Linked DNA regions of Mus musculus. The protein of the gene in region 1 purifies or fractionates together with the protein of each later gene. This does not show direct contact. Links are inferred from orthologs where the notes say so. Each region holds a gene or a part of one and is shown on either strand. Other genes may lie near its edges.

Region 1 (3,500 bases):
ATTGGGGTGGATTCACAGAGGTAGAATAAAGAGGGCATTGCATTGCAGCGATCCAGAAACCTGGATCTGAATTCTCTGTCCCTCTGCTTGGCTGTGATCCAGAGTGAGAACCTCCTAGCGCAGCCAACAGCCCAGTTTGCCCAGGATTGACAGGTGTCACTTTCAGTGTGAAAACTACGAAGTCTAGCCAAACCAGAGTGGTTGGAGCCCTTAGCTTTTCTCCTCTCTTAGCACAAGACAGTGGGACCACTTGCTGTTCCTTTAAGACCTTCACTGTGGTTTGATTCTAATCCAAAGACACCTGGGGAATCTACCGTGTCTGTGTATGGCAATATATCCTGATCTCTACAGCCGAAACAGATCCCTGGGGAGGGTGGAGCTGGGGTGGCCATGATTCTGAGCCTTCACCCTTCTGGCCGTAGAACGAAGAGAGCCACAATGAAGCAGAGGAGTCCGAGGACGAGTTTGAAGAGATGAACCTATCCCTCCTCTCAGCCCGGAGCTTCCCACGCAAAGCCAGCCAGACCAGCATCTTCCTTCAGGAGTGGGACATCCCGTTTGAACAGCTAGAGATTGGCGAGCTCATCGGGAAGGGTCGCTTCGGGCAGGTTTACCACGGACGCTGGCACGGCGAGGTGGCCATCCGGTTGATTGACATAGAGAGGGACAATGAGGACCAGCTTAAGGCCTTCAAGCGGGAAGTGATGGCCTACAGGCAGACGAGGCACGAGAACGTGGTGCTCTTCATGGGAGCCTGCATGAGCCCACCCCACTTGGCCATCATCACCAGGTCAGTCCCTCGGGCTCCGATGGGAACATCTAAGGGCTTTGTGCATGTTAATAGTGTCTTCGGGTCCTCCATCCACGGTTTTCTCACAATCCTTTAGGTCCCCAGAAAATGCCTTTAGGGTTTTAGGGATGGCTGGGAAGAGTACTGCATTGGGAGCCAGAAAAGCCAGGCATGATTGATACTTGTGTCTCATTAGGTAAAATGAGTGAATTGCTTTAGACATAGATCAGCCTGTTTGTGTAGCACTCCCAGTGCTATGTGTGAATTGGCCTCACAGGCCACACAGGTTCGGTCTCAGCCAGTTAGTTCTGCTATTGTCGGTAGGTGGGGGCGGGGGGCACGGGGAAAGCAGCCATAAATGATATATGATATATATGACCATATGGTCATATGATATATGTGATATATTGCGTGACAGTGTTGCAATAAAACTTTATTTACACACCCAAGTAGTGGGCCAGCTCTGCCCCACAGTTTGATCTGAGATGCTGGTGACTGTGATCGTGGCTCTTGATGGTTTACAGAGTGTTTGTGGAGCTATTGCCACCACTGTTCTGAGTATCCTGCATTAGTGGGCTGCAGGGGTTTGGGGATGGGGTGGGGGAGGGTAGTTAACAGAGATTGACTTTTAAAAAAATGGCAGATGACTATCTGATGTAAAACGTTGTCCTTCATTCACATGTGAACTCCTATAGATGACATATGAACACCCATCTGCTGGTGGGTACTGTCAGCCGGGGTGACTCAGTTATGCTGCACACAGTCTCCAGCTCAGTCACGCCCGTGGTGGCCTCTGGTGCCCAAGCTCAGCCAGGGGTCAAAGGTTAAATGCATAGGTACTTTCCATGCACCCTCTGGTCAGGCTCTGGCTGACATCCGTTGGCCAGAGCATCTCCTGTGGCCAGCTGGATTCAAGTGATGGAGGAAGTTGCTCTCTGAATGGCAGACTCTGTAGGGGGAGGACCATAGATAGTCATTTTTACATCCCTCTTCATGGAAAGCCCACCCCCCCCATTCCATACTCTGCACTTCCCTCTCATCAGGAAGCAACTTCTCCTCTCCCAGAAGTGAGGAGCCCCTCACTTGCAGTATACAAGTCCGGTGACCCATGAATCTCAGCGACCCATCCCTCCCCTCCCTCTTTCCAAACTGAGGCTCATTGCACATTTGTTCAGACCCCGCTAGCAGCCTTCGAAAATGAGTGGCCCATTATGAAAATGTATTGCTCACCCTTCAAGCCCAGCTGCACTGCAGCCTTCTGTTCTGTGACAGAACTCTGAGCGCCCCTCCCCACGTGCCATAACAACCTACAGATCTCACAAAGCACCCAGCCACCACCACCACAATAATAATGATGATGGTGATGGTGATGATAATAATAACATCCCTGGCAGCTTTGGGACATCTAATTGGTCTCTGAAGTATTTGGTATTTTGTGTGAGGATGCCAGATGAAACCTGAAAAAGACGTGTTCATTCCAAGGTTGTTGCGGTATTACAGATTTATCATGGGAAAGCTCGGTGAGTGCCCCATTTAGCTCCGTCTACTTGTTAGTCCTTAAGAGTATCCATCTGAACTTCTGCTTGCGGCCAGATAGCTGAGTAATTTGATTAATCATCTGCATTCACACGATTGACTGTTAGGGGATCGGTTGTTGGAGGATAGCCAACTGACTAGAACAATTCTGGGACCTTGGTTTTTATTTTTACAGGGAGTATAAGACCAGATAATTATCTGGCATATTCTAGAGAAATCGACAATGGTGTGTTCTAGCTAACTACTTAGTAATTATCATCAGAGCTAACACGTATTTCTGAGCTTGGGTCTCCTTGTAAAAGCCATATGCTTGGCTCTCAGGAAATGAACAATAACTAGTTAGTTATTCGGTCACTATAGCTTGCAGACAATTCAAATCTGGATGGCTAAATTATTTTACGATTGGGTCATTATGGAATTACTGCGAAAGAGCCAGCAGCCTGCACAGTTGCTCGTGTTGAAAACTTCAAGCGGCATTGAAAGGCCAATAGTGAAGGATTTGATTGACAGTAGCCTCCATCCTTCAGCCCAGCTGTGGGGTTTCCTGAGCCTCAGTTTCTACATCTGTGGGATGAGTGGGCTGAAGCAGGTGTGTGTCCCAACTCTGACAAAACGCTTTGGATCTCTGGGAATGAGCTGTCCGCGACACTGCTGGGAACAGCTTGGAGCAGCAGCAGCTTTCTGAGAGTACTCTGTCTGGACCTCATCTATCCACTGAGGGAGCAAGGCCTCTCAGATGTAGATTCCTGGAGGCTGCTGTGTTCAGTTCCTATCAAGTTACCCTAACTCTGTGGCATCAGGCAGCACACCCTGGGTCTCTTACAGTTATGAAGGGCCTTGAGACTCACTAGACTGATGTAAAAGTGTGGTCGGAAATGAGGTGTGGTAGGGTAGAGGTGTGGTCTGAGGTGAAGGTGTGGTCTAGGATGAAGGCGTGGTCTGAGGTGGAGGTGTGGTCTGTAAGAGGGGACACAGCTTACTGCCTTTTCCACCATGACTTCTGGCTTCTTCTTCCATTTCAAGGCCAGTAGCCTTGTTTCTATGGTTATATCAACTGCTTTGGTCAGACCATCTTTGGCTTCCCATGTGATGGGACAGTTCTGTTTAGGGCCCACCCAGATCATCTGGAACCATCTGTAAGTTGCCCCATTGACATCCAAGGTGGTGATTAGTC
Region 2 (4,118 bases), on another chromosome or scaffold:
GTTATATGGACATTGATATATATCACCATACAAGGTGACATGTATCTTCATAAGTTCTAAAGTGAGACAAGACAAAAGAAACCAAAACTAGGGGCTGGAGAGAAGGCTCAGCGGGTAAGAGCACTGACTGCTTTTCCAGAGGTCCTGAGTTCAAATCCCAGCAAACACATGGTGGCTCACAACCATCTGTAATGAGATCTGATGCCCTCTTCTGGTGTGTCTGAAGATAGCTACAGTGTACTTAGATATAATAATAAATAAATAAATCTTAAAAAACAAAACAAAAAACCAAAACTAAAATAAAAGCAGACATGGAACCAGGAAACATGGAATTTTCCTGTGGCTACAAAATATTCCATAGGTAATTGGGACTTTTATAGTTTCTCCTCCCCTCAAAAAACAAACAAACAAACAAACAAACCAACCAACCAACCGGGGGTCTGGAGAGATTCCCTAGCTGTTATGAGCAGTTGCTCTCACTGGTTGTTCTCCCAGAGGCTGGGAGAGCACAGGATGCTTCCAACTCCAGTGACAGGGGATTCGATGCCCTCTTCTGACCTCTGTTGGGTACTGCACTCACATAGTAAACACACACACACACACACACACACACACACACACACACACACACACACCCAGCAGGCGAAACACTCATCATAAACGTTCTTCTAAGAATCTTCTTAAAAACCGAACAGTTAGAGTTCAAGTCCCCAGGTGCAGCTCCTGAGCGTCTATAGGAGTCACCCAGACGTGGCGAGGGGGTGCCATCTCGAAGCTGACCTAGCTCAACAGCCATCCTTTGGGTTCCTTTTTGACCTCATCACCTGGGCTGCTTGCTGTGTTGGAGAGGCAGAAACCTCAAGGGAAAGCGACATCTTCACGCCCACTGGGTGTCCAGAGAGAGAGGTGCTAGGTGCTACATCGCATTTTCCCAGTCTCTAAGGAGCATCTTCAAGTTCAGGAGGTTATTTTCCGGGGTCAGCATGGCCCGACCTCTGCAGCTCGTGAAGGGCAGGCTGGGTGGACAGACAGGCAAGGCAGACGCTTGTCTGGTCAGTATTTAGTCTGGAGGCAGTGGACGACGAGGCGAGGTGTCAGTCAGCTTCCTCCATCCCTCTTCTCCGGCCCCCACAAAGGGCAAGGGCCAGACACGTGGGCAGCGGTGAAGAGGCGGAGATGCAAACGAACGGGGCGGAGCCTCATTTGCATAGGCAGTGCACGGCCACCAATCGGGACGGGCGGAGCGACAGCCCGCGCGCCTTTTGGGGGCGGATTGGCAGCCCCGTGGCCCTATGGGAGGTGGGTCCTGCGGCCGGCGGGGGCGGGACGACGGCGGGCGCTGCCCGGCGCACTAGCCGGCTTGCGGGCGCTGCCAGTCTCCGGCGGCGGTGTCCGGCGCGCGGCTGAGCGACCGAGCGTGCGGACGGAGCGGCGGCCTGCTGGGCGGGCTGAGCGGCGCGCGCGGCGGCGGAGAGACGCGGAGCGAGGGACGCGGCGGCGGCGGACGCGGCGACAGGTACGGGCGCCATGGCCGCGGGAATGGGGCGCGCGCACGCGGCGGACCCCGGAGCCAGCCCCGTGCTCGCGGTCCCGCTTCTGCCGCCCCTCGCGCGGCTTCCCCGGGATGGCGTGGACGGGACGCGCGGGAGGCCTGGGCCCCGCGTGGGAGGTGGAGCGGCCGGCGCTCTTCTCCAGCGTCTCCCTCAGCGCGGCGGCGGCGGCTCGCTCGCCCGCGCGCGGCTTTTGTTTCCCGCGCAGCCCACAGGTCCGGGGAGCCCCGTGTCGCTCCGCCACGCCGCCCTCCGGACGCGGAGGAAACTTGGCCTTCCGGAGCCCTGCAAGCCCCGCGGATAACGGAGTGCTCCGCCGCGTCCGCGGGGCCGCGCGATGGGCGTGCCGGCCGGGCACCGCCCTCACCTGCCGCTCCCGAGCCGGCTCGCACCGGGCAGGCAGGTGACCGGAGGGTCTCGGAGGTACTGAGGAGGAAGGGCTAATTAAAAGTTGTCTCGGAGGTGGCTGAGCGGGTACAGCCGCTTGCAGCCAAGCGTGACGACCTGGGTTCGATCCCGGGAACCGACATGGTAGTAGGGGAACCGACTCCAACCGCGAGTTGTCCTCTGACCTCCCTGTGTACACAGCACAAACACCACTGGCTCCGATACACATTCTCATCTCTCACCCCCGCTCTCAATAATACTAAGGAAATAAAAGTTATTTTAGGAATCTTCATTCCCTTCGCCCCAGCGGCATCACCACTCCTGTTCCGGCCATAGTCCTTGACTCCAAACCCAGCATTTTGTGTGTGTGTGTGGGATGAATCTAAGGGAGCACGTTGCATTATGACCATCTTCCTCCTCCTCATCTTCGTCTGTGGATGAGCCAGGTGGAGCGCTTGCGCCTCATTTTTTAAATAATTGGTGTCTGCAGCCATGGCGAAAGCGTTGGAAGGTACAGATCGTAAGCAGAGCGTGCAGAACTTGGGACAGCCCTCGGCGGGGCTCGGGACAGGGTGTACAGCGCTTGGCCGCCATTCAGTAAATTCTGCATGCGGCAGTTGGGAGCTGGTGGTTTGGGGATTTTTTTTTTTTTTTTTTTCCCTTCTTCTTCTTTCAGGAGTGTGTTTTCCAGCGGACCAGGGCGTTGAATAGGCACTTTCTTTGCTTCCTTTAGGGGAAGGAGAGAGTGTTTATTTCTATTGTCATCCCATTTTCTTAGGGCTGTGGACAAGGGAAAAGTTAAGGTGTGTTTGGGTTAAGCATTTTGTCTTTTCCTCCCCACTTCTTGCTGTTAGCTTTATATGTTGTTAAAAATTATAGCTTTTCCTCTTGGTGTCTGAATCAATTCAAGAAATGACTTGGAAAAAAATCTTACTTAACCGTTTTCTGTTACTCTCCCAGCTGATCCTCATTTGCCTGACTTTTTGGGGGGGGTATTTTTTTTTTGTTTGATAGTTGAAACATCAAAGTTTTATTCCTTTGTTATTGGGAGTTTACTATTCAATTAAAGCACGTATAAATTTCTGTAACCTAATACTCTCCACACAGCTTTCGCTTTGGAGTGCTACAGAAATGGTGTATTTTAACTATATTTATTTATTTATTTATTTATTTATTTATTTTTCGAGACAGGGTTTTTCTGTGTAGCCCTGGCTGTTCTGGAACTAGACCAGGCTGGCCTCGAACTCAGAAATCCGCCTGCCTCTGCCTCCCAAGTGCTGGGATTAAAGGCGGGCCCCACCACGCCCGGTTTACCTATTTTTAAATGCAAAGGTTAATAATGACACTGGTTTGTTAGCAGCACTGAGTGTTTTTAGCTTTCTTCCCCTTTGTCTTCTGATATGTCTTGTGTGGTAACTGCCTTGGGTGTAATCTATACTTCAGAAATGTTGAACTTCAGAGCACAGTTCGTTTTTATTTAATTACACTAATTGATTGAACAATCATTTTATTCATCTAGCTAGTTTGAGCTAGCTATGAGTTGGGACCACTTGAGATTGATTGATTGATTGATTGATTTTGAGACAGGGTTTCTCTGTGTAGCTCTGGCTGTCATGGAACTCTGTAGACCAGGCTGGCCTCCGAACTCAGAGATCCAACTGCCTCTGCCTCCCGGTGCTTGGGATTAAAAGCACGCGCCACCACTGTCCAGCCACTTGAGATCATTTAAAATTAATTTAGGAATATTTTCTGCAAGTTGTTTTAAAACAAAAGTTCATCAGTGGGGGCTTTTGTCATTCCAACATTTCACAAAAGGATGTTTCTCTATTTACTTTTTAGTTTTTATATCCATCTATCTATCGTCTGTGATAGATCGATCTGTCATTTGTGAGAGTACTTGGCACTGGTGTGGTTGTCAGAGGACAACTTTGGAGTTTTGTTTTCTTCTTGCCCTGTGTAAGTCCTGGACTTGAAATTCAGGTGGCTTAGTTTATTGGCAGGTTCTTTTATCTGCTGAGCAATATCACCAGCCAGCATTTCTTTTTAAAGACAGTTTAAATCACTTAAACATGAAAAGCCTAGAATTTGGGATGAGTTGTTAGTTAATTTTGAGAATTTTCTTTACTTTTGGATTGGAAAAGAATGTGTATTGTGTTGTTAGTTCCTACAGGGGATTCAGTT

The links.
Region 2: the proteins of Ksr2 (region 1) and Fkbp5 purify together in Homo sapiens (affinity purification with mass spectrometry; 3 studies listed by BioGRID and IntAct, with this or other methods). This does not show direct contact. The link is inferred for Mus musculus from reciprocal best matches to the Homo sapiens genes KSR2 and FKBP5.

The regions. Positions count from the first base shown.
Region 1 is NC_000071.6:117,707,502-117,711,001, forward strand, and holds part of Ksr2 (kinase suppressor of Ras 2), read left to right. Parts: intron 1-422; coding exon 423-790; intron 791-3,500. UniProt on the Homo sapiens protein: Location-regulated scaffold connecting MEK to RAF. Has very low protein kinase activity and can phosphorylate MAP2K1 at several Ser and Thr residues with very low efficiency (in vitro).
Region 2 is NC_000083.6:28,483,350-28,487,467, reverse strand, and holds the start of Fkbp5 (peptidyl-prolyl cis-trans isomerase FKBP5), read left to right. Parts: upstream 1-1,318; 5' UTR 1,319-1,516; intron 1,517-4,118. UniProt on the Homo sapiens protein: Immunophilin protein with PPIase and co-chaperone activities. Component of unligated steroid receptors heterocomplexes through interaction with heat-shock protein 90 (HSP90).